2 linked regions of the Rhinolophus ferrumequinum genome follow. The protein of the gene in region 1 interacts with the protein of each later gene in a pairwise test. Links are inferred from orthologs where the notes say so. Each region holds a gene or a part of one and is shown in the gene's direction. Other genes may lie near its edges. The genes, in order: DNAJA3 and TCF19.

The links.
Region 2: the proteins of DNAJA3 (region 1) and TCF19 interact in a two-hybrid assay, tested with the Homo sapiens proteins (2 studies listed by BioGRID and IntAct). The two-hybrid records come from large-scale screens. The link is inferred for Rhinolophus ferrumequinum from reciprocal best matches to the Homo sapiens genes DNAJA3 and TCF19.

The regions. Positions count from the first base shown.
Region 1 is NW_022680357.1:5,622,822-5,638,248, forward strand, and holds the start of DNAJA3 (dnaJ homolog subfamily A member 3, mitochondrial), read left to right. Parts: upstream 1-7,593; 5' UTR 7,594-7,634; coding exon 7,635-7,845; intron 7,846-12,880; coding exon 12,881-13,014; intron 13,015-15,427. Other genes in the region: CORO7 (coronin-7), read right to left, coding at 1,454-1,513. UniProt on the Homo sapiens protein: Modulates apoptotic signal transduction or effector structures within the mitochondrial matrix. Affect cytochrome C release from the mitochondria and caspase 3 activation, but not caspase 8 activation.
Region 2 is NC_046286.1:1,657,606-1,673,325, forward strand, and holds TCF19 (transcription factor 19), read left to right. Parts: upstream 1-8,283; 5' UTR 8,284-8,314; coding exon 8,315-8,552; intron 8,553-9,572; coding exon 9,573-10,128; intron 10,129-10,388; coding exon 10,389-10,626; 3' UTR 10,627-11,128; downstream 11,129-15,720. Other genes in the region: CCHCR1 (coiled-coil alpha-helical rod protein 1), read right to left, coding at 347-453, 576-686, 1,175-1,324, 1,492-1,602, 1,731-1,866, 1,970-2,133, 4,164-4,467, 5,588-5,789 and 1 more; POU5F1 (POU domain, class 5, transcription factor 1), read right to left, coding at 12,556-12,822, 13,012-13,170, 13,462-13,592, 13,899-14,013. UniProt on the Homo sapiens protein: Potential transcription factor that may play a role in the regulation of genes involved in cell cycle G1/S transition. May bind to regulatory elements of genes, including the promoter of the transcription factor FOXO1.

The DNA.
Region 1 (15,427 bases):
ATAAACTTTTCAAAACTCCCTTTGCAATCTGTTTCCGTGCCTGTCTGCTTACCTTCCCCACCAGGGAAGAAGCCCCAGAGCCCCTCAAGGACATTCCTGACCCTCCTAAGCAGTACTTACCGTACTCAAGACAGAAAGTCTAAATGCAAACCTGAGAACCTCTCCCCCCACCCCCACCCCACCCCCTTCCCACAGCTCCCCATTGTACTCAGAATAAAAGCCAACTTCTTCCCGTGGCCCTTGGGCTCTGGAAGACCGCTCTGGACTTGTCAAACACCATGCTTTCCCATCACTGCCCTCATCGTCCTGGCCCTTTCCATTTCCCACCACCACTCTTCCTGTAGCGGGCTGCTTCTCATCCTTCTAGCCTCAGCTTAAATGTCACCTTCCAGTAGCCTGCCCTGACCACCCTGGAGAGATTAACCCCTGCCTCACTGTCCATCTCCATCCCAGCCACCCCCCCTCCTGCCACGTTCTTCAGGGCACTTATTAAAACTCGCAATCCCTTGCATGACTGTCCGCTCGCTGGCTGTCTCCCTAGTGAGAGGCACCAGAGAGGACAGAAAGTGCTGTCCTGTTGACTGTTGCGCCTCCAGCAGCTGGGCACAGCACATGGGATGTTCAGAGGAAATATTGTCCAGAGAATGAAAACCAGTCTTGTGTCCGAGGCTGCCCTGATGTGCGTTTGCCCCTGATGGGGTCACCAGATGGGGTCAGTTTCTAGGCCCACTTATGGGAGGACACGCCAAGGCCTTCCAAACAACATGGGGAGCGGCTGATCAGGGCTGGCACCGTCTCCGCAGCACACTCCTCATCAGGCCGGCTGCTCTTCCGGAGGTCCGAGGAGCTCCCCCAAGCACCTCAGGGCTCCACCTTCTCGGGCTGCTCCAGGCCCCACCCAGGCCCTGGTAGCATCACTCGGAGGAAGGGAAGAGCTTGCGCCAGCCGCGAGAGGAGGAAGCACCGGCGGAAACCCGAGGGAGGGGCGCGCTTCTGTCCGAGGGGCTCCCCCTCCAGGGACACACCCGGACTCGCCGAAGCCAGGGAATATAGAAACATCTGTCCCACACACAAGCCCCGGGCAGGGGCGATCGGGACCGCAGGAAGGAGAAGCCGGCGGCAGCAGTGGCCGCGCCGCGGCTCCCCAGCGAGGCAGACCGGAAGCCGGGAAGGCAGGCAGCCTCGCAGGCCTCAAGCCTCCACCCGGCCGGGCGAGCTGCGCCGCCTCGGGGGTCCCGGAGCCAAGCGGGCGGGCCGACGGACCGCGGGGCTCACCCAGCGGCCAGAGAGCATCCAAGCGAGCGTCCCAGCAGGTCCGGACTGCGCCCTCGCGGCGGCGACCGAGCGGCCCCGACGCCGGGCCCGAACCTGAAGGGGGCGCCCCCAGGCAGAGGGGCTTCGCAGTCCCCGTGCGGGGCCGAGAGAGAAAGAGGGGGCGCGGGACTAGGCTCACCTCACGGCGGGGCGGCCGGGCCTCCGTGTGCCGGAACTTGGACACCTTGAAGCGGCTCATGGCGGTGGGGACCACGGAGCTTGCAGCTTCGAGGACCCGGGCGACCACCTTCAGGTGTACCGCAGGCAGCAGCGAATCCCGTACCCTCCGGCTCCGCCCGCGGCCCACCGCCCTCGGCCACGCCCAGACATGCCCCGGCCAATTGCAGCCGGCTCCGGCCCACTGGGCCCCGCCCTCGCCACTCTTCCTCCGCGCGCGCGTCCCCGGCCCCGCCCCTGAGCCAATCGCTAGTCGACCGCCCTGCGAAACCACGCCCCAATTGCGAAGGGGCGGTGGCGCGGGTGGGGAGGTCACGTGCGGCGTGCTGTCCGCCCCCGGCCCCTGGTTGAGTGCGTCGCGAGTGGGTGCAAGAGCCCGAATTTTGTGTGCAGGGATTTGCCCCAAGAGGCTTTCAGGGTGCAGAGACGCGCCCACTCTGAGGAGGAGCGAGGGCTTCTATTTCAGAAACAGTGAACACTCAGGGAGAGAGGAGTCGCCGATCCATGGTACACAGATAGTGAGTGGCAGCGGGGGAGCAGGAGTCCAGGTCTGACGCAAATCCCTGTCCGTGGGGTCTTCCCTAAAGCCTCTGCATACCACCCACCCTGCTTAGGCCAGGTGGGCTCGGCGGGAGGGATGGGACCTTCAGCATCTCCTTATAAGGGCATGTCTTGGCTGCAGGCCTTGGGCGAGGTGGGGCAGGACTCTTCGAAGGAAATCAATGTATCATAAACATATAAACTGAAAGGCCGAAAGATAGGGGCATTCTCCAGAATCCATTAAATAGCAAATATGCCCAACAGGCGCTGCTGGTATCCCAGGGCAACTTGGAAGGAAAGAGAGCGGGCTCATTCCCCGTGGGGCCATGCATTACACAAGCATTTCTCTTCGCTTTGAAAATTGACTCCGTGATTCCAGAATATGCTTTCTGCTTGAGAACAGACAGAACACCTGCTCGGGCGTCTGGAAAAGGGACTTTGATCTGAGGAATGCGAATGATTGGTCGGAAACGCTAGCTGCTGTGAAAATTCCCTTTGCGCAGTCTGAGGTAGGCTGTGCGCAGGGCGATTCGGAAAGCTTGGCCTGGAGATGGGTGCAGGTGGACCCCAAAGTGCAAGTTCTCGTTTCAGTTCATGGAGGACTAAGAGGCCACTACCGTATCCTACTGAGTTAAGAGCAACTTTGATCACCATAAACTAAAAATAGGATGTCAGTAGAGTTAACCGAAGGCTAGGATTTGGAATTCTAATCAGGCTGGCAGCCACTCCAGAATGCAGCTTTCCCATGGCACATACTCTTCAGACTCGAATTCCAGCAGCTTTGGAAAAGGCACCATCAATGCAGTCTTGAGTTGGTTGTAGTGTTCAATATTGTTTCTTTTTTTTTTTAATTATGGTAAAAACAACAAACTTTACCATTTTCAAGAGTACTGTTCAGTAGTGTTAAGGACATTCACTGTGTTGTACAACAGATATTCTTAAGATGGTAAATTTTATGTGCATTTTCCCACAATAAAAATTTTTTAAAATAGAAGTCAACTGTACACCTATTGCAAAGTTCATGTAAACCTCCCAAATTTGTTTTGGCACTTCACCGTTATTCGTTTTTATTGTTTGACCTACCATTATGATGGGCCTAACTGGGCACAGTCAGAAAGTGAGAAAGTCGTTAACCCCCAGAAGTAACAAATGGACATGCCATGGGCTGAATCTGGTCACATAATGTTTTAGTTGGTTCACGTGGTATTTTTAAAATTGAGACATTTCCTGAAAGTTTGAATTTCAGCCTCTTGAAAAATGGAAAGATTTGATTTAGCAACAGTGGGTCCTAATCCCCATATGGCTAAAATGGTTTGGAGCTGAGAAGCACCTGCCACCTTTAAAGCATGTTTTCCCATTTGCTGCAGTCCTACTGGTCCCTGTCATCTTATACATGGCCACTCCACCCTTACACTTTACCTACTTGGCCCTGACACCTGGGTTTGTGACCCCTGACCTCCCCCAGGAGAGAGAGAAGCCATGACCCTGGCTGTGCTGGATCATGTGACTGTATTTCCACAAACTCGGGGCTGGTAGTAGCACAGTTGGAGAATGTCGTCTTCCCCATTCCCACGTGACAAGCCTGAGCTCCACAGCAGGCGAGTAGAGGAGAGTGAAGGACCAGAGGGACATGGAGGCCCAGAGAGTGACCCAGATCCATTCTGACTGGGTCACATGTTCCCAGATCCATTCTGGCTGGAGAGTGATTCTTTCTAGTAGAGTTCAGAGCTCTAAGGCTGCTGCAAACTTGAGCAGAATAAATTACTTCATGAATTGCAAAGTTGAACTGACAGCCTCCAAGATTCCTTCCAGTCCCAAGAGCCTATGAATAACCAGCTTTGTTTCTTTATAGTCCTAGTAACTCCACTTCACTGTTTGTCTCTCAGGACTCTGGAAGACACCTCTCTACCCTAAAATTTTTTTTTATTGGGGAATATTGGGGAACAGTGTGTTTCTCCAGGGCCCATCAGCTCCAAGTCGTTGTCCTTCAGTCTAGTTGTGGAGGGCGCAGCCCAGCTCCAAGTCCAGTCACCATTTTCAATCTTTAGTTGCAGGGGGCACAGCCACCATCCCATGTGGGGATTGAACCAGCAACCTTGTTGTTGAGAGCTCTCACTCTAACCAACGGAGCCATCTGGCCACCGCACTTAGGATGCATTCTTAAACTGTGACACCAAAGAAAACATGTTTCCAATAGGATGTTCCTTTAATCTTCTGTAAAGTCAGTGGTTTCTGTAAATCAGAATTTTTGCAAGAGAAGGATGGATGAAGCCAGCTTCAGTGCCAGCAGGAAATTCCTTACATCTAGTTATCTGCCCCTGAAATGGTTGCTTATTAATGTGCACATTGAAAACATTTTTGTATGTAAGCCCTGCCTTGTTCATTTCAGGAGCTGGAGCAGAAAGGCACATGCAGTTATCAGCACAGGAAATGGACAATTATGCAACAAAATACATTTTAAAAATTTGGAAAAACACTCATTCTCCCCAGCATGACAGTGCACCTTAAATTATTATTTTATTGCTTCTCAAATGAAGGTGTACCCATATGTTCTTGGGGCTCTGATGTTTTACTATATCTAGTGATTTTTGACTTTTTACAAGAACTTGCAAAATATTTTAGCAGAAACTCAAAATGTAACTTTTGTGGTGATAATTCACAACTACAGGGCATCTTTCATAGAAAAGGTGATGTTTTCTAAAGTGATGTTTTTCAATTGGAGGCTACTGATCACCAGAGGATTCAGAGCTTTATTCTTCGTGTTCATGATCTTTTTTTTGCCTTTAAAAGATTTCCTTTTATTTCTCAAGTTTGTGAAACGTTAAGTTTAAGCCTAGTTTGGGCAGAAGAATATTTAGCTGTGAGCTGGTGCCACGTGTGGTTTTATTTAAAGGGTCTTTTAGGAAATCATTAGCACAGAAAACCCAGACAACTGAGGAGAGGGCACAGGTCAGTTCGTCTCCTTCTTTTGCAGGGAACTGCACCCACGGCAGATGTTATGTCCGGGAACATATAGGTTACACATTTCACATCCCCTTGGACTCGTCCCATAGTCTCTTGGGAAAGAAAGGAAATGCTACAACTAGAAAAATCATGAGCTAGCTTTATTGCCTCTGAAGAGACTGGCCGAGGCCCTTTTGCCCTCCCTGATAGGGCTCCTTACATGGGGAGGGGAGCAGCCATCCCATTGCATAGCCATGGACTTGGCCAGTCCCATTGTACCTTGGATGGTTAGTGTCTGCAGGAAATCACAGAGTAGACCATACTTAAAACTCCTTACCAGCTCTCACAGATCTCACTACGTCAGGAGAGCAGGAAGGGCCAAGTGGAACAGTAAAATAAAAAATGTAGAGAGGGAGGTGCTTATGAAATCTGTGTGCCTTTTGCAAGTAACATTTGTTTCTCCTTAAAGCTAAAATTTTTGGCTTTAGACTGGAGACTGGGACAGGGGAGGGTGAGGAGGGGAGAGATACAGGACATATTCTGCCTGGGAGTGTGGGAGGTGTGGCCTGTGTGCTCATCCCAGTTTTTGCCAACAAGCCTGGAAAGTGTCCATTAGTAGCCACCATCACCCACTCCATTCCCTTGGGGTCTCTCCTTCCTAAAAGCAAATGTGGGCTCCCCAACAACCAGCCTTCCTGCTATCCCCTAAAATAAGAACACATACCCCCTTTCAATGTGGACAATTTTTACTGTTAATCACTATGGGGAAGTAGATGGAGGGAAAACTAAAATACCAAAAAATGAGGAAGTTACAGAGCTGACAAAGTTTTCATATTAGTGAGCCCTCCTCTAGTGTCTAACTCACTTTGAGGTGGTAAGTGCAAGTCCCTTTGCCTTGTTTTCGGCTTTTATTCCTGAAAGTTGTACTTCTCAACCAGCACCCTCTCCCACTCTTTCTCCCTAGGTTTTGGGCTCCATGTGGGCAAGTAATTGTCTGAGTTCTGCTTGGTATTGTCAGTGCTTAGCAGAGAGCCTGGCACATAGGACTAACATATTGAGCACTTACTATGTGCCAAGTACTGTATGAAGCCTTTACGTGGATTATCTCACTCCTCAGATCATCCTTTGAGTTATTTACTGTTACGTTCCCCTTTTAGAGAAAGGAAACTGAGGCAGAGATGTTAAATATGTTGCCCAAGGACACACAGCTGGTAAGTGGCAGAGCCAGAATTCAGACTCCAAGGCTCATACACTGAACCACTGCTGGAAAACATTTAAATATTGGTTGAATATGTTAACAGATCTCTTTTCCCCCACTTCTGACCCCTTTTTTCTTGTTTCTCTAACATTCCCTAGCCCAAACTCAACTATTTTTTGCACTTTACAATAGCCTCATAACTGTTCTTCACTGGGCCAGTGGTTTTTAACCTTCTTTGAACCTCAGAACATGTGATGAATTTGATTGCTGAAAGCTATGGACTAACATACACATACAAAAAAATTTGTGTACAATGGGAAGGGTGGGGAGGAGCACAGATCATCTTTAAGCCATCTATGAACCTCCAGGTTCCCTTTTTATTGTTTGAGGTGGTGGTGGTGTATGAAAGTTGAAACTCCTTTGCAAGACTTACCAGGCCAAGTTTATCTTTCTGGCCTCATCTCCAGTCACACACCTTAAGTTTATGGCTTAAACAAATAAGGCAAGCACTTTCCATCTCCAGACATCTGCTCTTTATCTTCTTGCTACTTGGAATACACTTCCGCTCCACCCCTACCTGAGCCACTTTTCATTACTGGAATGTTACCTCTCAGATGCCTTCCCTGACACCCCAATACCCCAACCTCTGAGAAACCCCTTCACCTGTGTTCCTGTAAAACTGTTTGTGCCTACGATAGCACTGATCACGTTCGTTGCTAAGGAGCCTGTGTCTCTCAATTCATCGTTGTGCTCTTCCAGAGCAGAGATAGTATGTCATTCCTCGTTGTATCCCCAATACCCTAGAACGTGCGTGACACACAGATGCTCACGATGTTCATTAAACTCGTTTTGGGGAAACTTGTCTCACTCTGCGACCGGCCAAGTTCACTACAGGTTTGGAGAAGGCTAACACGCTTAGGAGAGACCTAAGGGATCAAAGTCCGCCGCGTAGTGAATCAATCAGAAAAGGTGAGTTTGAGGACAGAATCTGGGAGCTGGGCAGAAACTCCGACCGCTCGCCCGGACGCCGGAGGAGTAACAGGCAAGAAAACGTTGTCAGGAGGAAGGAAGCCGTGTACTGCACGCTGCGATGTGCGCGACTGACGGCCGCATTGCACGCCGGGATTTGTAGTCCCGCCCTTTGCCGGGCCCCTCAAACCAATTACACTCAGCTACACTCAACCACAGGCTTATACAGATAAGGAGCAGTCGTGATCCTCCAGCACAGAATTGCGAGGTTCTCCAGGGCAAGTATATATAGTAGCATTCTTTAGAGCAAACCTCATTTCGGTGTTGGCTACTAGGAAGGCGCATTGGGTGCAAATAAGCGTGCGCAACGCTTGTGCTTCTGCGTGCGCGCGCAGCGGGCCTCGTCTCCCGATGTGCCGGCGCTGCGCGTGCGCGTTATTCTCGCAAGGCCTGCTTGAGCCGGCTGGCGCAGGCGCAGTGTCCCCGGGCCAAGATGGCGGCGTTGTATTCCACACGCTGGTTGCTGGTGGCTGTGGGGACCCCCCGGCTGCCAGCTGCAGCAGGGAGAGGGGCCTGGCCGCCCAGGGGGGGCGTAGTGGGGGCGTCGCTGGGCCTCAAGCTGAGTGTTACCACCTTCGCGCCTTCCTTGGGAGCTCGCGGCCCCCGGGCGCTGCTGACATTGAGACCCGGTGTCAACTTCACAGGTAAGGGCAGGCTCCAGCGCCCGAGTGGGGCCTCAGAGGCCTGGAAAGGGGTGACTCTCCTCGCTCCAGCTACGGGGTAGCAGGGTGGAGGGTGTATTCCGACGCGTATACGGAATTGCTTGGGGAGACTGGCAGGCAGGAGGCAGAGAGGTCCAAGTGGGTACCCAGAAGCGGGGAACGAGGGAGAGCTGCATGGAGCTCCCGCCGGCGGGGGTAAAACGTAGGCCGTAAACCTTCACCACTCTGTCAACATTTTGGGAGGCCTCTTTCCGGGATGCTTCTGCTCCCTTCCCCTATTCCCTTCTTGCCCTCCAGTTTGTAGCCTGTAGCGGAAGGGAAGACGTAACTGCCATTGGGTGAATACCTGCTCTTATGCTAGGCACTTTGTGTGTCATCTCACTTGACGGTAACAGTAACCCTGCGAGGTGGGAATCGTCGTCACGCCCATTTTAAAGAATGGGTAACTGAGGTTCTAGCAGAGGAACTGACCCGCCCAAGGTCATAAAGTTATATAAGAGTTGTCCCAAATCCAGAGCTGTACTTTCATAGCTTACACTCTTTCCACGAAATGCAGTAAATCGACAAGGTACACTTAACGGTCTCTTTTAGAGGTCCTTAAATTGGTAATTGTAATAATACAAACGTTTATTGAGCACGTACTATGTACCAAGCATGGATCATTTCCACATGGTAGACACTGTTATTATTCCATTTTTATAGATAAACTGAGGCTTAGATGGTAAACAACTTGTAGAATGTCACAAAGCTAAAAAGTGGTAGAGCATTCATTCAAAACCTACTGTGTTCTTCATAGTCTGGGTGATAGTGAATTAATATTTATTAAGCCTTTAAATGCTTAACCATGATAGTTTCTCATGCTGTGTTGGGTGATTTTCATTACAGAGAGAGAAGAAAGGAGGAATCATTGAACAACCAACTATATGCCTGAATTGTGCTAGTTGTTTTTGTCCCCTAGAATTTGGGCAAATGATATTTAAACTATTTATAACTTTACAAAGATGATTAATTAAGGGCCCTAACAAGGTAATTTACACAAGATAATTTCCTATTGAGGTCCAGTTCTGTAATGCTGTCATTAAATACCAGTAGTTGTGATTACTTTGTACAGTGAGCAAACTCACCTTCACCTGTGTGTGTGTGTGGGGGGGGGGGGGAGAGAGAGAGAGAGAGACAGACAGACAGACAGACAGACAGACTTGGGTGAATTATTTAATCCCTTTGAGCCTCTCTTTCCTTAACTGAAAATTTATTCATTCATTCACAGGTGTTTATTGAGGGTCTGTCATATGCCAGCCACTGTCCTAGGTACTGGGGATACGAGATTGAATTTGGTTGTGGTCAAGTGATCCAGTTTTTTAATTCTGTTCCTGCCACCTGTGTTTCCTCATGAATGGAGCGGTATGCCCAGGTTTCCTCAGGATTATTTGGAGTGATGTCATTCAGTATTTCTCAGTATGAGCAAAAGTGGTCATTTTCAGGTTTAAGTAACATTTTCTGATGTCAAGCTAAATATGTTCACACTACATTTATACAAGTTGGGGAGCATTTTTGGTGTGTGTGTGTGTGTGTGTGTGTGTGTGAGAGAGAGAGAGAGAGAGAGAGAGAGAGAGAGAGAGGCACTCAGTACTGAGCCTTGTATGTGGTCATTACTAGGGAACTGCAGTCATCTCTCCTGGTCCCACTCTATAGCCTGTGAAGGGCATGTTTTGTATCAAGTGAGAGGTGGCATCTTTCAAAGTGCGCTCTGATATCACATCTAAAGTCATCAACTCAACTCTCAAACATTGGTCTGTGATCTCAAATCGAGTGGTTCAATTAGATGACATAAAAACATTTTAAATTCTCCTTCTCTCCCAAGGGCAGAAAGAAGACAGTTATTTGACACTGCGTTGGGCATTCTTGGAACGACTTGGAGGCTGATCCTATTCTGGGTTATTCTAAAAAGAGCAAGACATTTATTGGTCATATCTTGGGGAAAATTTGCCTATTAAATGAACTTTCTAAATTATTGCTAATCATGGATGCCTTTTGGATAATGTCAAAAGTCATCAAACTTATAATAGTTAAATATGATTTCTCTTTACTCGTGTGCAGTTTTGCATCATGCTAACCCAAGTCCAGGTTCTCTGCTCACGACATTGAAGCTGCAGCTGGAGGGGGCCAGGGTAACTCGTTCATAAGTGAAGAGGGGCTTGAGTGTAGAAACGCTAGGAGACTACAAAGTATTAGGTTGGTGCAAAAGTAATCGCGATTTTTGCAGTTATTTTTAACCTTTTAAATCGCAAGTACTTTTGCACCAACCTAATAGCTCTACTGTTTGCCTCAGATCTGACTAAAGAAAGACAGCAGTGTTCTTCTAACTCCTACTGCTTCCACACTGCTTTTCATTTTCCAGGAAGTCTAAGAAGCAGCAACAGAAACCAAATATTGGGGATACTGAAAATACAGATTTTCTTCCTGGTTCTGATTTTAATCATTCTGACCAGTCTTACTCATTCTGCTGTCTATTTATCGCTTTTCTTGGATATGCTCAACACCCTCGTTGTCTTTGGTGCTCAGATTAATTTTAAGTAGTTGCCCAAACCTAGTTGGTTTTTTTGTTTGTTAGTTTGGTTTTGGTTTTGGTTTTTTGAGAGCTCTTCCTCGTGTAAACCTGACCATTTCCCTGTTTAACACTTTCAGTGGCTTCCTAAGTTTAGGGGTTAAGCAAATAGGGCAAACACTTTCTATCCCCAGACGTCTGCCTTTGATAAGATCCACACTCCTTAGCATAGCTCAGAGGCCCTTCTGCTTATGCCGAGGCCCCTTTAATCATCATCTCTAACCACCCCTCTACCGTCCCCACAACACCATACACAGGCATGTCTGCACACACAGTCTTTAGCTACATCATAGCACCTGCAGTCCTAAATGCACAGGACTGAACCACTCCCTCCAAACCTAAGGTCGTCAGAAGATTTCGTGGCCAAATGGGGCACTTCTGAAAGTGAAAGGGGATGCTGTTGCAGATAACACCAGGACTACAGATGTAAATCTGGATGGATTCAAACCCCTCCTTAGCCTGCTAATTTCTACAGTTTAACAGTATGTGCCTTAGGAACCTTCCCTGAACTTCTTAGATTGGGTTGCCAGTGGTTCTCAACTGGAGGTGATTTTACCCTCCAGGATACGTTTAGTAATGTCTGGAGACTTTTGAGTTGGGGAGGGAGGACCAGATGGGGTGCTACTGGCAATTAGTTGGCCAGGGGTGCTGCAAAACATCCTATAATACATACTACCGGTGAGTATATTAGTTTGCTAGGGCAAAGTACCACAGACTGGGTGGTTTAAACGATAGAAATTTATTTTCTTTTTGTTCTATGTTTTGTCAGGATTCTTTCAAAGAGCCTACATCCACTACAGTCACCTTCTGAAGTGCTGGGGGTTAGGACTTCAACATATGCATTTGGAGGGGGGATACAGTTCTGCCCCTAACAGTATGACAGCACCCGCCTCCCTGCCCCACCCCTGCAAGACGAAACTAATCCCTTCATCCACCCCTTCTTCCACAGGGCAGAGATTGAGAAACCCTGGTGAGGTGACCCTCTGTATAGTCTCACTCTGCGTGTCTTTGTGTGTTAATCTCTTCACACACTGCCTTCCCACACCGCCTCGTGAGAGGGGTTCCTTGAGGGCTTTGGCTTTGATTTTTATTCATTTTGTATCCTTGTGCCAAATACAGTGTTAAGCTCTTGAATATATGTAAGCTCCAGGAGGACAGTGCCTTCAGATGGTTTGCTGCCATGTCCCCAGCATGGAGCCTAGTGCCTGGTAGGTGCTCAGCAAGTAATTGCTGAATGAATAAATGCTCAATATTTGTATTTGCTGAATGGATGAATGAATGAATAGTGAGTACAGAAGCTTCCCTACAGGCGAACGTTTGCCTTAGAAACCTGGAGCTGCCTCCTGATGCTCAGTCTTTTTCTTGGCCCTCCTGTCCCTTCTGCCTTAACTTGCCCCTTTCCCCCAACCTTGCACTCCCCATCTTCCAGTTGTCACAGGGTGGGGTGGGGGTTAGGAGGCAGGACTCAAGGTTGTAGAGTAACTTTGTGTTTGTGACAGGCCAGTCCCAGTTAGCGCTCTGCTTCATGCACAAAGGGCAGGCGAGTAGATGTGCCTGGTGGCCTTTCCTCCCAGCTGCTGATGCAAGAGGCCTGAAAGGAGGCAGGGCATATGGCTGCTTGCCATGTGCTTTGATTCCTTTCAGGTTGTCTACTCTGGCAAACAGAGGTCTGGCACAGGGCCTTTTAACCTTGTGTGTCTATATATGCATTGTTTCTAGAGGAAGGGTCAATGCTTTTATCAGATTCTTTTGAGAGATGTGTGACTCCAAAGACTGAGAATCATTTCTTCAATACAGTGGTTCATAAGTTGAGCCTGTGACAGAATGTCACCTTGAGGGCTTGTTAAACAAGGCTCTACCCCACCGACAGAATTTCTGATTCAGGTCTGGGGTGGGGTCTGAAAATTTGCGTTTTCAATAAGCTGATGATGCTGCTGGTTCAGGGACCATACAGAGTACCACCCTATAAGCAGATACCCAAGGTTGCGTGTAGAGGGAAAGAACATGGGGAGTTGTTAAGCCTTACGTGAGACAAAACATGAGAATACCTGGCACGTGGCAGGTGCTCAGGCAGAGTAACGGGAGCCAAGTCCCCTTTTAATCATCTCAAGGTACAGCCCCCATCTGGGGTACGGTTCCTTTGATGGTTAATGAGGCTCCAGCGGTAGTAATCTAGTAGGATCAGCCTCACCCAGTTTTATATTGACGTTGTTTTATATTCTTCTTGTACTGCGGCCTTAGCCATTTTTGAAGTGCAGTGGATTCGGTCTCCAGTGGGCTTGGAGGAGAACAGGCCCTAAAGCTGTGACCTATTTGCTCCTTCACAGGTATAACCTGGCTGGTTGTTTACTTACAATTTCCTTTTGGTGAGCATATTCCCAGAGTGATTTTCTTTCCTTTTTTCTTTTTTAGGAGTACAAAGTTACCCTTTTGTTTGTACTGCCTCTTTCCACACGAGCACCCCTTTGGCCAAAGAAGATTATTACCAGATATTAGGAGTACCCCGAAATGCCAGCCAGAAAGAGATCAAGAAAGCCTATTACCAGGTCTGTATGGAAGCCAGATTTTAGAGAGAAGATTTGTAGAAGGAATGCTATTATTCTAGTCTGATCCTGATCAATGCAATGCATATGCCTGTACGTATAGGACATAGATAGCTGACAGTACAGAATGCTATGGTAAAGATGAGCTTTGCTAGACTGTTTCTCAGTGCATGATGCTGCACTAGTTAATGCTTCACAAAGAAGGGGAGAGTCAGAACCAGAGATTAAAAAAAGTCTTTTTCCACAGCTGTTTTTGTACTTGAATTTATTCTGCACCTTCTGAATCAGTAGGCGTGCTGGTTTAAGTTTTAGGTAGTCATCCGTTGCATTCAGATAAAAGTTTATGGACTTAGAATTATTTCTTCTCTTAACGCAGAAAGTATGAAATTCCCATCGTCACATCCCAGAACGTATTAGGGCTGATTGGTATAGTGGCATGTGAGTTACCCAGACCAGTGGTTCCCAGAGTTTTGCTCAGATAACAAAATTAAAATTAAAAAAATGGGTACCAGTGTAGGATTGCCAGCTTTTGTAGATGTTAAAAATAACAACAGTTTATTAATGTTGTTTGATGAAAGAGCATCTTAATACCATAAAAATAGGAAAGCCATAATATCAGAATAAAGAAGAGATCTTTACATTAAATAAAATATAAATTACATGCAATAATAAATTACCTTTATGAAAAATTTACAAGATTCTTGAATTTTTCTTTTTTTTCTTTAAAGATTTTTTTATTGGGGAAGGGGAACAGGACTTTATTGGGGAACAGTGTGTACTTCCGGGACTTTTCCAAGTCAAGTTGTTGTCCTTTCAATCTTAGTTGTGGAGGGCGCAGCTCAGCTCCAGGTCCAGTCACCGGTGTTAACCACTATCGCTTGTGGGAGTCGAATCAGCAACCTTGTGGGCAACCCTGTGGTTGAGAGGACGCGCTCCAACCACCTGAGCCAGCCGGGAGCTCAGCGGCAGCTCAGCTCAAGGTGCCGTGTTCAATCTTAGTTGCAGGGGGCGCAGCCCACCATCCCTTGCGGGAGTCGAACTGGCAACCTTGTGGTTGAGAGGATGCGCTCCAACCAACTTAGCCACCTGGGAGCTGAGCGGCAGCTCATTGACTTCATTCTGGTTGCGGAGGGCGCAGCTCGCTGGCCCATGGGGAAGCCAACCGGCAACCCCGGCACCCAGAACCCGCGCTCTAACCAACTGAGCCACCCGTCCGTCCTTTTTTTTTTTTTTTTTTTAATGGGTGAGCAAAAACTTTGTCCGAGCCCAATATTTGTGAACCAAATACTGATCAAGACCAGACGTAACAGCTTATGGCTTCTATGGCTACTTCCTCCTCTTACTTTTTTAAAAAAGTGTACAAATTTACTGGTTTTTAGTTTATTCAAAATTGTACAATCATCACCACAATCAATTTTAGAACATTTTCAACACCTCAAAAAGAAATCCTTATACCATTAGCTCTTAGACCCCATTCTGCTCTCTCCTTGCAATTGCTACCCTGCTTTCCGTCTCTATGGATTTGCCTGTTCTAGACATTTCATAGAAATGAAAGCATACAACATAAGGTCTTTTGTGACTGTCGTCTTTTACTGTCGCATAATGTTTTCCTTTAGCATAACGTGTTCAAGGCTCATCCACGTTGTAACGTATCAGTGCTTCGTTCCTTTTCATGATCAAATAATATTCCATTGCACGGATATGCTACATTTTATTGGTCCATTCATCAGCTGATGGCTATTTGGATTGTTTCCACTCTTCCGTTACGAGTAGTGCTGCTATGAACATCCATGTATCAGTCTTGTGTAGACCTGTGTTTTCATTTCTCGTGGGTATGTGCATACACCTAGGAGGAGAATTGCCGGGTCAAATGATAACTCTGTGTTTAAACTTTTAGGATCTGCCAGACTACGTCAAAGGGGCTGCACCATTTTACGTTCCTTCCAGCAGTGTGTGAGGCTTCCAATTGCTCCACATCGTGGCCAACACTTACTGTTAGCTGTCTTTCTCATTCTAGCCACCCCAATGGCTGTGAAGTGGTGTCTCTGGTTTTGATTTGCTGGCTAATGATGTTGAGCATTTTCCCATGTGGTTATCGGCCATTTGCTGCGTATGTGTTCAGATCCTTTGCCCATTTTTCGAGTTATCTTTTATTACTGGGTTGTAATGGAATGAACAAAGGCATGGGGATAGGAACCAGAGAACCTGGAAGAGTGAATAGCATGTCTCTTCTTTTGAGCTGGAGGGTAAGGTACCTGATGCAAGGGTGGGAGAAGATTGAAAAGATGGAGGCTGGGGCTAAATTAATGGGGCATTTGAGGCCCTTAGCAAGTACTAGAGACTTAATTTAAGAGAGAGTAGGGGACTATTCCAAGTTTTTAGTTGTAGAAATTTTTTAAGTAGCTTTATGGAACAG
Region 2 (15,720 bases), on another chromosome or scaffold:
CCACACTCCCCATCCTCGAACAACTTTGAAGGTAGGGATCCTCGCAGGTGCTCCATTAGCTCAGGCTGTTCCTGGACCAGACTGCAGCAGGACGTGCTGCCTCAGCTCCAGCCACACACACAGTGGGAGTCCTAACAAATGACCCTGGTGGGAACGTGGAGGGCTGCTCCAGGAAAAACAAGCACAGGAGCTTTTACAGGCGTAATACCTCTGCCCTGCTCCTCCAGTGGCCAGCTTTCCAGCCCGTCTTGCCTGAGTTCTTAAACTCCAAGGTGCCCGGGAGGCTGGGGAAGCCGGAACACTACCCCCACCCTCCCTGCCCTCCCACACCCCCCATCCCTGATACCTGCTGACGGCACTGGCCACGAGCTTCTGCTGCTCCTCAGCCGTGGCTGTCTGCTGCTGCCGCCGGCGCCAGGCCTCCTGGGCACGGCTCAGCTCCATGTGCAGGGCCTAGAAGGGTGCCATGAAGAACAGGGTCCCTCCTCAGCCCAGCCCACAGACCCAGCCCGCTGGGTTTCCCAGCCCGCCACTGTTCTCTGCCCGCCCCTGGCCTCTGCCCGCCTGACACTGACCTTGGCGCCAACACGCTCCACCTCCACCTCTGCGGCTTTGTCCTCCAGGGAGCGCTGCAGGATGGCCTGCTCCTGGCTCTGGGCTACGGCTCTTTCCTGGAGCTCTGCCACCTGGGGGAGGACAGGAGGCAGGGCACTGAGGGACAGGTGCAGAGGTCTCTGAAAGAACACCATGCAGGGAGACCAGAAGCGTGGGTTCCTGAGAATGGAAACCAAGGTTTCCTTCCAGAAGCATGTTCCATGTGCCCACACCTTGAGGAACTGCCCTGTGACCCACAAGGACCTGCACATGCCACCTCCTCCAAGAGGCCGTTCCTGAGCATCCTGCCTGAGGCTGCCCCCCCACCCCCCGCAGTGTCACGTGATCAGTCACCTTTTTCTTCACAGCTCACATAATGACCTGACCTTACCTAACCGTCTGCTTGCCTATTGTGCGTCTGCTCCAGAACCTAAGCTCGTGAGAGCAGGTACTTGTTTTTGTTCAGGGCTATGTTCCCAGCACGTGGTAACCACACAATAGTATTTGTTGAATAAATGCCATCCCTTATGTAAAGAGCAAGTTGGGGTGAAGAACATGGGAAGAAAGGGCGACGGGTGACCTGTCCCTTCAGCTGCTCCACACACACTCTGTGCTCCAGCTCCTGGGCCTTCAGCTGCACCATCAGGGCAAACACCTTCTCCCGCCAGCACTGCAGCAGGGACTGGCACTTCCTGGTGAACTCAGGCTCCAGGGAATCTGAAGGCTGAACCTTTGGGGCGGAGGAGGGGGACAGTGTGGGCTCCTGGGGGAGCAGAGGAAGGAGGCAGCATTTCGCTTTCTCTCTGTGCTGCCCAAGCAGCAGGAGCTGCAGCAAATTCAGGGAAGGAAAGTCCTCCACCCCCCGCCCCCCCCCACACACAGGGAGGCCCGGCCTACCTTCCTGGCCAGCTCCTGCTCCTGCAGGGACAGGATGTGTGTCAGGCTCTGCACGCGCACCTCCAGCAGTCCCGCTGTCTTGCGCAGGCCGGCCCGGTCCTCCTGCAAGTGCTACCAGCAGGAGAGAGGCCTGTTTGCACCCTCAGGGAAAGCTGCTCTCCCCAGGGACCACGCCTCCCCTGGGATCCTGGCCTCCCGCCCCACCCCCACCCCCACACATGCACCCTACACTTTCTCACCTGCACGGTTTCTAGAAGCTCCTGTCGCTCCGACTCCCACGTCTGGCTGTGGACCTCAGGAGGTAATTGTTCCCCCACATATCTCCTTAGATTCTCAACCAAGGTCACCTGAACCTCCAAGTCTTCTTGGGTTTTGCTAGTATTAGGGTGGAAATAGGGTACCATCAGTGGGGCACCCTGGAGACCCGCCCCACCCACCAATCGCTGGGCCCGCCTTGGGGACCCCACACCCCACGTACTTGAGCTGCTTCCGCAGCAGCTCGGCCTCCTTCTGGGCCTCAGCCAGCTCCTTAGCTTCCTCTGCCCTCCGGGTCTCCAGACTACTCAGAGACTTCTCCAAGCCCTCAGCTTTGCTGGTCAGACTGGAAAGAGTCTCCTGGTGAGCCTGTGTCAAGGAGGAGAGCTGCGGAGAGAGAGGGCTCAGCAGGAGCTGGCTCACTCCCACATCCAGGCTTTCTAAATCGGCCCTGCATTGGCCTTGTCCCCTCCCACTTTCGGTGACCTCAGACAGCCCAGCACACACATCACCTGACTGAGCACGGCAAATGGAGACAGTCCCCGGCGCCTTACTCCCCCCATCACTTTCCAATCCATCAGCAGTTCCGGTCAGGTCTCCCCCAAATCATACCTTCACTTCTCTCTACCTCCGCTGCCACCAGCCTGATGTACGCCACCCTCGTCTCAGGCCTGGACGGCAGCAATCTCCTCACCAGGCTTAGAAACCTCCAGTGGCTCACCACGGCATTCCAACAAAACCCAGTCTTTCCCGCAGCCTGCGACGCCCACTGTGCCCTGGCCTCTGCCCACCTGTCTGAGCCCGTCTCCCATCACTCTCCCGCTTACCCAGCTGCTCAGATTCAGGGGTGAGGGGCACACGTCACCTGTCACCTCCGCGGGAAGGCGGCCCTGGGCCTCCAATCCCTACCCACCCCTGCTCCGTCCTGTCGCCTGTTCCTGTCCTTCCAGCACTTACCGTCTGAGATGACCTTACTTCTGTGTGTGCTTACTGTCTGCCACACCCCCTTCAAAAGGAAGTTCTAGGAAGGTAGGAATCTTGTCCTTTTTTTACTGCACCTTGAACAGTGGTAAGGGTGTTGGGGACACTGGAGGGGTCATGGGACGGGGGTGGAGGTGGGTGGAGGGGGGAGGCTGCTGCCCGCATTTCCAGTCTGTCGTCCCGCCCCCTGCTCTATTTCCATACCACAGTCAGAGTCATCTTTTTGGACATAAATCACAAAACTGGTCTTTTGAGATGTAAAATACAAATCTCATCACATCACTTTCCCATTTCACTAGCTGCTGTTCTTCAGATAAAGTTCTACGTGGGCCCTGACGTCCTGCAGTCACACCACCGCCCAGAGCCCTCTCGTCTCCTGCACTCAAGGCTCTCAGGCCCCCTCCTGTCACACGTGCTGGCCACTGTCACACCAGCTCCCACAGCCACCCAACCCGTCTCCTCACCAGCCAGCTCTTATTCTGCATAAATGTCAACTTATCATTAAGCATCTTTCATGAATCTAAAGGCATTTATATTTGTCTTTGACTATCTCCTTTGTCCATTTTTTAACGGACATTTTTTGTGTGTTTCCTTTGTCAGTTTCTAGGCCCACCTTATACAGTGGAGATATCAGCCGCTTCCTGTGATTTGAGCTGTGACTACTCGTATTCCTTTCTGGTTTATCATTTGTCCTTTAATTTTACTTTTATTTTGTCACTCCTAAGTTTAGTATTAGAAAGTCAATGTACCAATCTTTTCTTCAATGGTTCAGAATTTTGATTCACGCGTAAAGACCGTGAGGTTACAGAAGAATTCACCCAGGTTTTCCTTCAGTATCTTTATGGTTTCACTTCTTAACTAGGATAGCCTTCCTTAACTCCCCTACCAGGTTAGGGCTCCCTTGTCCTTCTTCAGGGCACTTCTCCCAATTGCAATTAACTAGGACTAAATCAAGTATGGAATGTGTGTGTCCCCACTAGGCTGTCAGCCCTGCCACAAGGGCAGGGACTCGGGCTGATGTGCTCACTGTGGAGTCCTGGCTCTCATCTCAGGGATGGCAGAGTAAGCTCTGACAAGTGCTTACCGACTGAACAATCTCCCCTTCCCAGCCCACCTCAGGACCCCACTCCTCCACCCCGCTGCCCCTAATGCTCCCAGATGAATCGGGTGGCCAGAGTAAAGTCGGAAGACAGAGTACTCCCTACTGGAAGGGGAAGGAGGGCTTCAGGTGGGGGAGATCACCTGGGTCCTGGGGAAAAGTGCAGTCTGAGTAAGAGCAAACACCCAAGGTCTCCCTCTTTCCAGGTCATGTTTTTTCACCTTCACCAAACGACTTCTCATCACTCCACTGCTTTTCTTTGATTCCTGCTCTCTGCCGGGAAATTACTGCCCAGTTTCCCACTATGAAGCCGAGCTCTTCCCACCCCCACATTCACCTGCTCCTGGTGCAGCCTCTGAATCTCCTCCAGCTCCCGCTGGCTCCCCTCTTCCAGGTTCTTCCGGACAACATCGGCCCCAGCCAAGGCGGCACGCAGGCCCTCCGCCTCAGCTCGGCCGGCCCTCTCCGCCCGTGCCAGAGCCTCCAGCTCCAGGGCCTGGGCCTCCAGCCTCATCTGCTGCTGCAGCGAGGTCTCCCGCAGGACCCGGGCCTCCTCTTCCAGCCGCCGCAGCTCTTGCAGCTGCCAAGAGATCAGCTCAGCCTGCTGGCTCAGGGCCTGTGACCCCTGCCGCTCCACGGACCTGCAAAGACAGGTTAGCACAGGTGAGACCTATCTCTGAGGCTGGGAAGGTGGCCAGGGCATAAATGGAGACAGAAGAGATCCCTCTGCTCCTATGTGAGGAGACGGGGGGATGAAGCTGGGCCGTGGGGATCTCTGCATTCCCAGCACCCTCGTCATCCATGGAGGCCCTACTAAGCATAGAAGGTCCAGTGCCGGGGCTCAAAGGACCTAGACTGGCTGAGATCATGGAACATGGCCTCTGGAGCTACACACAAGGATGTCTTAAACATGAAATGTGCACATCATTAGTGCACACATTCTGAATTAGAGAGGTTGGAAGTACATGCAGAGACTTCTGAATTCTGATTTAAGGGCAAGGTAAAGTCTGAGGGAGATGAGCAGAGAGCGCGCTCACGGCGCTATTGGTGTCACATAAAGTTACAGCTTATAACATGGCTGTTGGCATAGCGCCCTCACTGGGGCCCAGAATCACAGGGTTTTTTTTTTTCTTTAAGCAGGGAACTATAGCCTAGAGAAGTTAAGTGACTGGCCAAAGGACCCCTAGCTGGTGCCAAACGAGGAACAGAGTGTCTCTGTCTCCTGACACCCACTGCAGTGCTCCCCCTTCGTCGTCATGCTCCTTCCTATTTGATGGGGTCCGAGGCAGCGCTGTCTCCAATCCCACGCTAGAGCACAACGGCAGAATGGCATTCCAGTACATTTGGGAAAAGACATACGTGAAACAAGAATAAGAATCTTTACAGACAACACATTGACAAATAGCACAGTGAGCTCCCACAGCCGGTGCTCCATCAGGATGAATCCATCCAGCACAAAAACAGTCTCAGTTTGAACTTCTTCACCTTGCCTTGTATATCATGCTTATTACGATCAGCTGTTGGTCAATCGGTCTCTTCCCTTAGGACTTGAAATTCTTTGATATCAGGATTTCTCCTATTTATTTTTGTTATCCCCATCCCTATCGTCTAGCATGCTGCCTTATTATTATTTATGCATTGCAGGCACCAATAATTGCTTACGGAAAAATGAACAAACTACCAAACTACGGTATGAAATTTCAGTAAGCAAGGGTCTCTGGCAAGCCAGCCTGAGAACACAGTGTGACAGCGGACCCCTACCTGCCTCTCTGCCCTGGTTCCTGCCCATCGCCAGAAACATCCCGTTCCCACATGATCACTTGAGGTTTCTGGTTGTCTGGCCGCCTCTCTGAGACATCTTGATGGGCCAGGGGAATGTCTGAGACCCAGGTGGGAGCCATTCTTGGTTTGGTAGGAAGGGGCCGCGCTTGAAAGTGGGATGGGGGAATGAGCCCAGTGGAACCTGAGGAATCACAAGGACAGAGATGGTCAGTTTCCCAGGAAGAGACAATCACCAGTCCCCTTGCCAGGTCCCACTGACCTGAAGGTCGAAACATCTCCACATTATTTGAAGTCTCTAGATTCTGTGTCCAGCCATCTATGTTCCCCTGGACAACAGGAGAAACAAGGGCACTCCAATTCAATTTTCAGGCCACCTTCCAAAGAGAAAGCCCCTAAAATAACAGTCATTATCCTTAAATAAGAGCCAGGTCCACCAGACTCTAAGCTCCTCTTTTTCTACTTCCCGGAAGTAGGAAATACCCAAAGATCACTTGTTTCACCCAACCTGGTCCCTGATAGAACTGGGGCAATAACCATGAGATGGAGGGAATTTACTGAAACAGGCTAAGAGGGAGCTCTTAGGCTTTACTCAAACTTTTCAGGTCTGGGTAGTGCCTTTACCCTCCTCCTCAGGTTTTTATAGTCTCTGCCATTCTTGGTTGGAGGTGTGTGGTGCCGGGACTGTGAGCCCAGTCTCCAGAGTTCTCTCCATGGCTCAGCAGGCCTTGGGGAAGCCCATCCGGACACCACCAAGCCATGACTCCTGGGCCCTTCCCTATTAAAGCGCTGGCCCAAGCTGACCCCAGATGAATGTGGCCACATGTAGGGCAGGGCGCCTCCCCAGAACCCCTGGGAATCTAGGCAGCCTAGATCCCTTGGCAGAAAAGCCAGCTTCCTGACATCTCATGCAAACCCCTCTAGCAACTTCCTCTTAGTTTCTCTATCCCCTTAACTTCCATTCCTGCCACCCACCCTCCTCTCTTCAGCGTCCTAGAGCACAGCGAGGGCTCTTCAGGGTCTCCCACCCTCCCACCCAAATTCACCCACTTTTCCCTCGATCTAGGATTCCTCCCCCCTCCTTCCCTACATCCTAATCTGCTTTCTCCTTGAATTACACTGCTCCCTCACTCTCACCTTCATCTCTCAGCTCAACAGCCTCCTCTCTTCTCCCTACTCTAGCTGGCATTCAGTCCGTTCCCCCCTAACTCCCCCAGACACCCCTGAGTCTTCACCCCGATATACCCGGAGCTCTAAGGCTATTCTGACCCCCTTATCTGTTCCTTTACCCGGCGCCTGTACCCCCTCCTCCCCTATGGGACCCTGATCCCAACCCAAACCCCTTCTCAACCCCTTCCCACCCCCAACTGACTCTTCCCGAAAGCCCCCTCACCCAGCACGAGAACCCCCTTTGCCCTTTCGCCACGCCCCCAACTCCTTGCTGCGGCGCTGGTCCCGCCCCTGACCGCGCTTGCGCAGAGTGGACCCATTGGCGGGCCGCTCAAAAACCGGAAGTGGGGGGGCGGGGAAGAGATACACGCAGGCGCAGGAGTGTCTAAAGCCCTGCCCAATTACCACGTTGGGGCACCTCCGCGCCCTGGCGGCGCCTCCTAACTCCCGGAACCCGGGAAAACTTGTGAACTAATCAGAAAAAGTGGTAGGCGGGACATCGGGGGAGCCTGCCAGCGCCCCGCCCAATGGAACGGAGGAGGGCATAGGGGCTGGCCAATCAGGAACGGTACGGGGGAGGGGCGGGCTCGCTGGCGCGAAATTCGGACCGGGGAATTCCGAAGGCGGGGTCGGAGCTGCCCGCGCGCGTAGGCCGCTCCCCTCCTGGCCCGGCTTCCTCGCTGTCAAACAGCAAGCAGGAGCGGCAGCTCAGGCCGGAGCCCGAGGGGTCCCGGAACGCTGCACAGGCTGGCACTGCCGGAGAGGAGACCACTTCGAGACTGCACCGCGCGGTAGATCCGAAACGGAGCTGGGGCGGGGAGGCAAAAGGCTGGGTTTGCCTTGCATGATCTCGGGGAGCTCTTTCCTTTGTTATTATCTCACCCGAAAAAGCCGGGAAGCAGGGATTTAGATCCACTTTGCGAAAGAACGTAGGGACCCGTTTTCACTGCCTTTTGGGAGGGGGTGACAGTGGAATCACTTTCCACTGGGGTTCAAGCTAACTAGTTATGTGCGAGGGGTTGGCCAGAAAAGAGAGGCGCGGGCGAGCAGGAGGGCTGGCTACTCTATTTGGATAAGCAAGTCTGACAGGAAGAAGCTTCTTTTCCCCAAATTATATCGAGGCGACAAGTTAGTATTGCACAGAAGTAGGACGCCCCCATACACACCTACAGTTCCCAGTTCCCCAGAAGCTGCCGAATGTATGTTACCTTGCACAGATTGAAGGCTTTCCGAATATTTTGCAGACTGAGGATCGGTTCATCTAAAGTACCATAGGACGTGTTCGTTTTTGCACTGCACCGGGACCTTCCCAGAATTTTCAGTTCAAAGCTGCTTGACAGCCAGTTTTGCATCACGTGCTTAGGATCCTTGGACTGAATTTGCACTGCTCAGGGGGTGTGCTCAAAGTTGAAATTGCACAAATCATAGCTCAAGTTTGCATCAGACGGAAAGCGAACTTGGGCCACCGTGCATGGCTCAGGAGTGGGGAAGGTGATGGATTCCTGAAGTGGAAGAGGTGGGGCCGAGGGGGCGCCGCCCATGCTGCCCTGCTTTCAGCTGCTGCGCGTCGGAGGCGGCAGGGGCGGTGATCTCTACACCTTCCACCCCCCAAGCGGCGCTGGATGCACCTATCGCTTGGGCCACAGGGCTGACCTGTGTGATGTGGCCCTGAAGCCCCAACAGGAGCCCGGCCTGATCTCTGGAGTCCACGCGGAGCTGCACGCCGAGCGCCAGGGTGATGCCTGGAGGGTCAGCCTGGAGGACTGCAGCAGCCAAGGTGAGCAGTGAGCCGTTCTGGGCCGGGATGATGAAGGGGCTCCCCAGGGACCCTGCCTGCTTCCCAAGCGCCCTGTCAGGTTGGATGGATGGTTGTAGTCCAGACCTCTTGTCTTCTCACCCAAAGTGTGCAATGTCAGCAGCTCTCTGCCCGGCTGACTCTTGGTGGCCCCTGTTTAGCTCATACAGGGGCTGGGAGGTAGAGCCAGAGCCTGGGCAGCAGGGAAATATCACAGTGGGGATGTTCTGGGGCCAAGCTCAGGCCTGACTCAGTTTCCAGATTTGCTGAGGTGCCTTGTTCCTGTCTTAAGGCAGTTAGGATGCTGAACTGTTTTAATGATATGGGCATGTGTCTTACTCCCTGACTCGGAGGTGGTCACAGCCAACCTCAAAAAGCCTGGGCTCACATCTGAGTTCTGCCACTGGCCCCAGGTGAAAACTCAGGCCTGTCACTTCATTTCTCTGAATCTTAGTTTCCTCTTAGGTAAAGTGGAAGCTTTGTAAGGTCTGTTTGGGGAGTGTGGTGGGGATTAGGTAACTATAGTAGCCGATATTCATTTAGCGCTTACTATTGAACCAGGCACCGTTTTAAATGCATTGACTGTGGACGAGCATTAACATCAGCCCCGTTTTAGACAAGGAAAATGAGGCACAGAGGGTAACTTCTCCAGGGTCATGAAGTGGGCAAGTGGTGCAGTCAGGATTCAGACCCAGTCTGAGCTCCGCTGAATGAGCTGGGAGACAGTGAGCACGTCAGAACTGGACTTCAGTGGAGTGAGGGAAGGGGTCTGTTCCCTCCTTGTCCTGTGGGAGGGCATAAGAAGTACACTTGTTCCCAGCTCAGAAAGAGCTTAACATCTGATGTCACCTGCTGAGGGACTTAGAATGTGAGAATTTGATGACAGGTGCCATATTCTTCCTCACGCTCCCCAGAAAATCAGACAGGACCAGATTTCTCTACTCCTGACTCTGGTCATGTTTTTGTCATTCTCTGTATCTGTCTGGTGCCCGTCATCAACAGGGACTTTGGTCAATAATGTCCGACTCCCAAGGGGTCACAAGCTGCAGTTGAGTGATGGTGACCTTCTGACCTTCGGCCCTGAAGGGCCCCCAGGAACCAGCCCCTCGGAGTTCTACTTCATGTTTCAGCAAGTCCATGTCAAACCTCAAGATTTTGCTGCCATTACCGTCCCACGGTCTAGGGAAGAGGGACCAGGAGCTGGTTTCTGGCCCATGCTGCCCCCACAGGGGGCTCCACAGCGCCCCCTCGGCACCCTGGCCTCAGCCCCGAGAGCCACGCTGATCCTCAACTCCATTGGCAGCCTCAGCAAGCTCCAGCCCCAGCCCTTCACCTTCTCACGGACTGGGGGTGGGCCACAGAGCCGGCCTGCTCCCATTCCCCCTGGGGCAGTGGAGACCGCCCCTTCTGCCCCACCCCCAAGAAATCGGAGGAAATCGGCTCACCGAGTGTTGGCAGAATTGGATGATGAGAGAGAGGCTCCTGAGAGCCCCCCACTAGTCCTTAGAGAGCCCAGGAAAAAACTCCGAGTAGACAAAACCCCTCTGACATCTAGTGGGTAAGTGGAGAGATCGTTTTCTCAATGTTTCACTGCCTTTTGATTCCTTTTTAGAGCCTCAGGTTGGGAGGTGGCCCTCTGCTTGGGGTGGGGGGTAGGAGGTGGACAGAGAACAGATGTTGGAATGGCAAGACCTGGTTTAGCTCCTAACCAGGTTCACCATTAGTCTAGGGAGTCTACATAGGTTCAGGTATCATCCAGGGTAAAGTACTAGGCTTCTACAGGTTTCCAGTGACCCTGGTTTTTCTCACTTTCTTTAGAAATCGTCATGGGCGTCCTCCGAAGTACCCAGTGAGCACCATGACTGCCCCTGCTGCTGGGGCCGGGGAGCCCTGTGCAGCCCCTTGTTGCTTCCTGCCCCAAGAAGAGACAGTGGCCTGGGTTCAGTGTGATGGTTGTGACGTCTGGTTCCACGTGGCCTGTGTTGGCTGCAGTATCCAGGCTGCCAGGGAGGCTGACTTCCGGTGCCCAGGGTGTCATGCGACTGTCCAGACCTAAGGCCCTCCACCAAGGGGCCAGACAGCTGGCACCTCCAGGCCATGGGTGGACACGAGGGAATACCAGTGGGTTCTAAGAACTGCTTTCTCTTGCCTGCCCAGGAGGGAATGCCCACAGTGCTGGGGTCCATTGCTATGGGTCTAGAACAGGCCCTCATGGCCAACGTGACAGAAGAGATGGTTTCCTGCCAAAGATAACACTGCCTGCAGGAAGTTGCCAGTGAGCTGGAAATTCCCAGGTCCTGGCTGCCATTCACACTAGAATGTCTGTGACCAGAGCTCTGGTCAATTGCAGAGACCATGCCTGGGAAGATGTAAGCCCCAGACACTAACAAGTGAGTTCTCAACATTCTTGGATGGCATCACCTGAGGCATTCTGGGGGAAACCTAGAGCACTGCCCCCAAACTTCCTTATATTGTGGGGAGTCCTATTGCTGACCCTGTTTGTAGCCTGGCTTTTCAGAGGTTTGCTTTCATTTCCAAATAAAGAGTAGCTTCATTCACTGCCATTTATTCTTTTTGTGGGTCTCATACTCATGCTTTCCAATTCTTGGGAGAATGGCCTTGGGAAGGTTTGCAGAACATGAGTTCTTAAGGGCCTGGGAGATGAGCAGAAAAGGCAGAGAAATACAAACCCGTTCACTGGGGAGATGCACATAGGTGGGATGAGCTGGAGATGGGAGATGGGAAAAAAGGAACCCAGGTAAGAAGTCTTCTCCTTTAAAGGAAAACAGACCCAATGCCATTAAAATAAGGGAGCTGGGGTTTGGTCAGTTTCATGTAGATGGCAGAACTGTTACAAGCTTCACTTGTACAGACACACCTCAGAGACATTGCATGTTCAGACCACTGCACTAACGGGAGCCATAATCTTTACTGGTGGAGGGCCTTGCCTTTGACTTGTAGAAAATGCAACATCTGTGAAGCGCAACAAAACAAGGGTGCTAGTGCTGCCAGGGAAGAGAAGAGCTGGTCAACCAGCCAGAGCAGACCCTGGCCTGGTCCCGTGTGCATCAACCTAACCCATGCACGGTTCACTGGTTTCCTTCTGTGACCCTTACACCAAGCCAAGGTACCGTCAAAGCAGTGTTTCTGTTCTTTCTAGGAAAGGCCTTATCTTGGTAGTCTATTGCAACCTGCATGTCTACCCTCTCTACTCCTACCTACTTACCAACCCAAGTGTTTCCACATCGAGGAAACAGCTCTGGAACCAGGACTAAAGTGTGGGGCCTGCTGAGTCATTCATGGCCAGGGTAGGCAGAAACCTTAAAGGGAAACCAAATGAACCCTGGTGTCAGGACAGCACAAGGTGGCGTTTCTGGCTGGGGTCACTGGACATGCAGAGGTAAGAATCTAAAGACTCGATTTCTTAGCAGGACAACCCCAAGGACTTCCAGTGTACGGTGGGGAAAGCAGAGCCAGCTCCTGGTAGGGAATGGCTACATAACAACATCTTGGGCTGAAATAAGGGTGCAAATTCCCTGGGACCCATGTCATGAGCGCCTAAGAACTAGCTCGTGCCTACAAGGACCTTTACAAATAAACATGTTCCAGTCCCACTCTCATTCTGATACTGTGTGACTGAGCAGGTATGGCACTTTGGCTTCAGGGTCGTTTGGGTCTGAGAGCTGTTAATATCACTGCTGGGTATCCCCAGGACCTTCTTCAGTAAGGCAAAAACAAAAGTATCCACCTACTGTGTCCCAGGCTTCTTTATTTAAGATCAAAGTGATGAGTGAGTGATGTGGGGATTAAAATCAAGAGCATCATTGAACTTCATCTTCCCTCCAACCAGTTGCTCCAAACTCCCTGCCCCCACACCCTCTGTGTTCCCAATTCCTTAGTGAACGAAGAACTTAACCCCAAAGCCCCAGCACAATCCTCAGGGTTCTCTCCCTGGCTCTCCCCTTTCTGGCAAAGGGCAGGCACCTCAGTTTGAATGCATGGGAGAGCCCAGAGTGGCCACAGACACAGAGGGAAAGGCTTCACCCTCAGGGAAAGGGACTGAGGAGTACAGCGTAGTGAAGTGAGGGCCCGCATAGCCTGGGGTACCAAAATGGGGCCCTGGTGCCAGAGGAAAGGATACTGGTCCCCCTGAGAAAGGAGGCCCAGAAGCCTCAAAATCCTCTCGTTGAGAATAGTCACTGCTTGATCGTTTGCCCTTCTGGCGACGGTTGCAGAACCACACTCGGACCACCTAGGAGTGGAGGACACAAGGGAGAGTGACACTCACTCATAAACTCCAGGAGGTGTGCCTGGTTTTATGAGGTCATTTGGCTCCAAAGCAACAGATCCAGAGTGGCTGGAGGGCAAAAGCCAGAGCTAGGGCAGCGGGCAGGGCCTGGGGAGGAGGACTCGGAGCACGGAGCACGCGGAGGGCACTCACATCCTTCTCAAGCCCGAGCTGCTGGGCGATGTGGCTGATCTGCTGCAGCGTGGGCTTCGGGCACTGCAGGAACATGCTCTCCAGGTTGCCCCTCACTCGGTTCTCGATGCTTGTCCGCTTTCTCTTTCGGGCCTGCACCAGCGTCTCTGCTTTGCATATCTGGGCAGGTGGGGGCGGGGGGGATCAGGGGAGGAGATGGGGAGCAAGCAACAGCACCATGACATCAGGGACTCGAGCAAATTGCTAAGGGGCGTCACCAGAGCCAGATGGTATGAAAAAGAATCCTACAAGGGTAGACCAGTGGCTCTGGACTTGTCCCAGCAGCACTGAGGAATCATCTATCCTCCATCCACTGAGGACTATGGCCCCTAAGGGAGCTGCCAGCTGGGGGTGGGAGCACCGACAGCAGGTTGAGCCACGGAAGGTCCCTATGCGCCCACCGACCCTCACCTCCTGCAGATTCTCGTTGTTGTCAGCTTCCTCCACCCACTTCTGCAGCAGGGGCCGCAGCTTACACATGTTCTTCAAGCTGAGCTGCAGAGCCTCGAAGCGGCAGATGGTTGTCTGGCTGAACACCTTCCCTGGGAAGGCGGGTTGAAAGAGAAGCAACATGTGGCAGCAGGCAGGGACCCAAGACCCAAAATTCACCACCCCTTCCTGCCCTCACAAGGTCCCACCCAGGATTCCACTTCTTCCCAGAGGGAACTCTGGGACCAAGTATCTTCGTCCCTCCCTCTCTACCCTTTTCACGGGTGAGAGCAGAGCATGCCCTGGAAACACCCTCCCCTCATGCCCTTGGTAGGGAGGAAAGGCCAAGTTCAGGAATGTTCCAAGGGGAGATGTGGTCCCTGGGTTCTGTGGGTCAGAGCATGCTGCCGGGGACCCACCAAAGAGAACCCCCAGGGTGAGCCCCACGTCGGCCTGGGTGTACCCCAGGGTGATCCTCTTCTGCTTCAGGAGCTTGGCAAACTGCTCGAGGTCTTTCTGCAGAGCTTTCATGTCCTGAGACAGCATTTAAAAGGCAGAGGACACGTAAGAACACAAACACCAACTGTTGACCCTCTCCCCACCTGGGCCCAAGGGGCGGTCTGCAGGAGTGTCTGCATCCAGCCTGCCCACCTACCATCTAGAAACAACCTATCTACAAACGTCACTCACCCCAGAAGCTGCAGAGCACCATGTGTGATGGAAAGACCAGTCCTGGACTCAATGAGAACACCTGTCAGGTTATGAAGGGAGCTCCTGCCTATTAGCTCATTAACACCAAATCTTTTCGACTGGAGTATTAGCCGTACAGAAATAAAGACCCCTGTGTCTCTCTGCTTCTCATTTCAATATATTTCCCCAGCTTTCTTCCAGGGTCCCACAGACTAAGACACGGCACGCATATCAGAGAAACACTACAAAAAGTTACAGGTGTCATAAGAGGTATGAGTAAAGTGCTTTGTATATAGTTGGTGCTCAGTTTTTTACAACCTCTGATTCTCCCCTATTTTTATATATTTTTTGCAATTTAGAAGCATCCTCGATTAATTCAACAGATTTATGGTACACCTTCTATAAGCCAGCAGCTACACAATGTAGACAAAAAGCCCTAGCCTCACGGAGCTTCCATTCCAATGTGGAGAGACAAATAATTATTATCCAGTATGTGAGTTTGTTAGAAGTACCGTGGGAAAGGTAAAGCAGGGTAGAGGATTACAGAGTACAGCAGAGTAGGACATTATGGGGAAGGGGACAATTTTAAATATGATGAAGAAGGTGAAGTTTGAGCAAAGAGAATGAGCCAAGTGAAAAGGCCCAAGGCGGGCAGCCCTGGAAGCAGCAGGGGGCTGGGTGAGTAGGCTGACTCATGGAAGAGGGAGGGGTGTGATCTCAAGAGGGGCAAGCAGGGCAGAGTAGGTGCTGCACTCACATGATCAGAACTCTCACATTTCAAAATGTGCACTCCAGTTGACACGGTGACAATAGACTGAGGAGGAAGTGAGGGTATAAACCAGGGAGGCAACTGCAGTTATCCAGGCATAGGTGGCGGTGGCCGAGACCAGGGTGGTAGGTAAGTACTGACTGAGGGTATATTACAAAGGTAAACATGGCGGGGTGTCCAAAGGAGTGGATGTAGGATGAGCAGGGAATGCGAACGCCTGAATAGCTGGGCGATGGGTGGATAAGGGGGGACACTCAGGGAGCCATCCCAGCAGGAGACAGAAAAGATAGAGCAGAGTTTGAGGGACTGAGCCCTGGGGCCCTTCAGTGAAGGCCAGTGTCCAAGGGGACCAAAGAGTAGCTAGGTTTTGTGTGGTCCTGGAAGCCTTAGAGAAGGATTTCAAGGGTGCTCAGTTCCATCAAACTCAAGTAGGCTGGCTTCCATTCCCACTTTCTGCTCTGGCAGTGTTTCAAGACTATAAATGTCCTCAGCTGTCCCCATCACAGCTTTTCCAAATCCTATTTTGGGGATTTGAAACAAGGTAAACCCCAGTTCAAATCCTAGCTTTATCATTTAGCAGTTAAGACCCGTGAAATGGGCTAATAATACCTCCCGAGGAGGTTTTGTGATAGTTAATGAGATAATAACGTAGGAACGGAGCACACAGCCAGGCACTTAGGAAATGGACCACAATTGGCAGCCATTATTATTCAAGGCTCAGCAGCCGCCTCCTGCAAAGAGTCTGCGGCGAGTCGGTCGGCTGAAACCAAGCACTCACACCT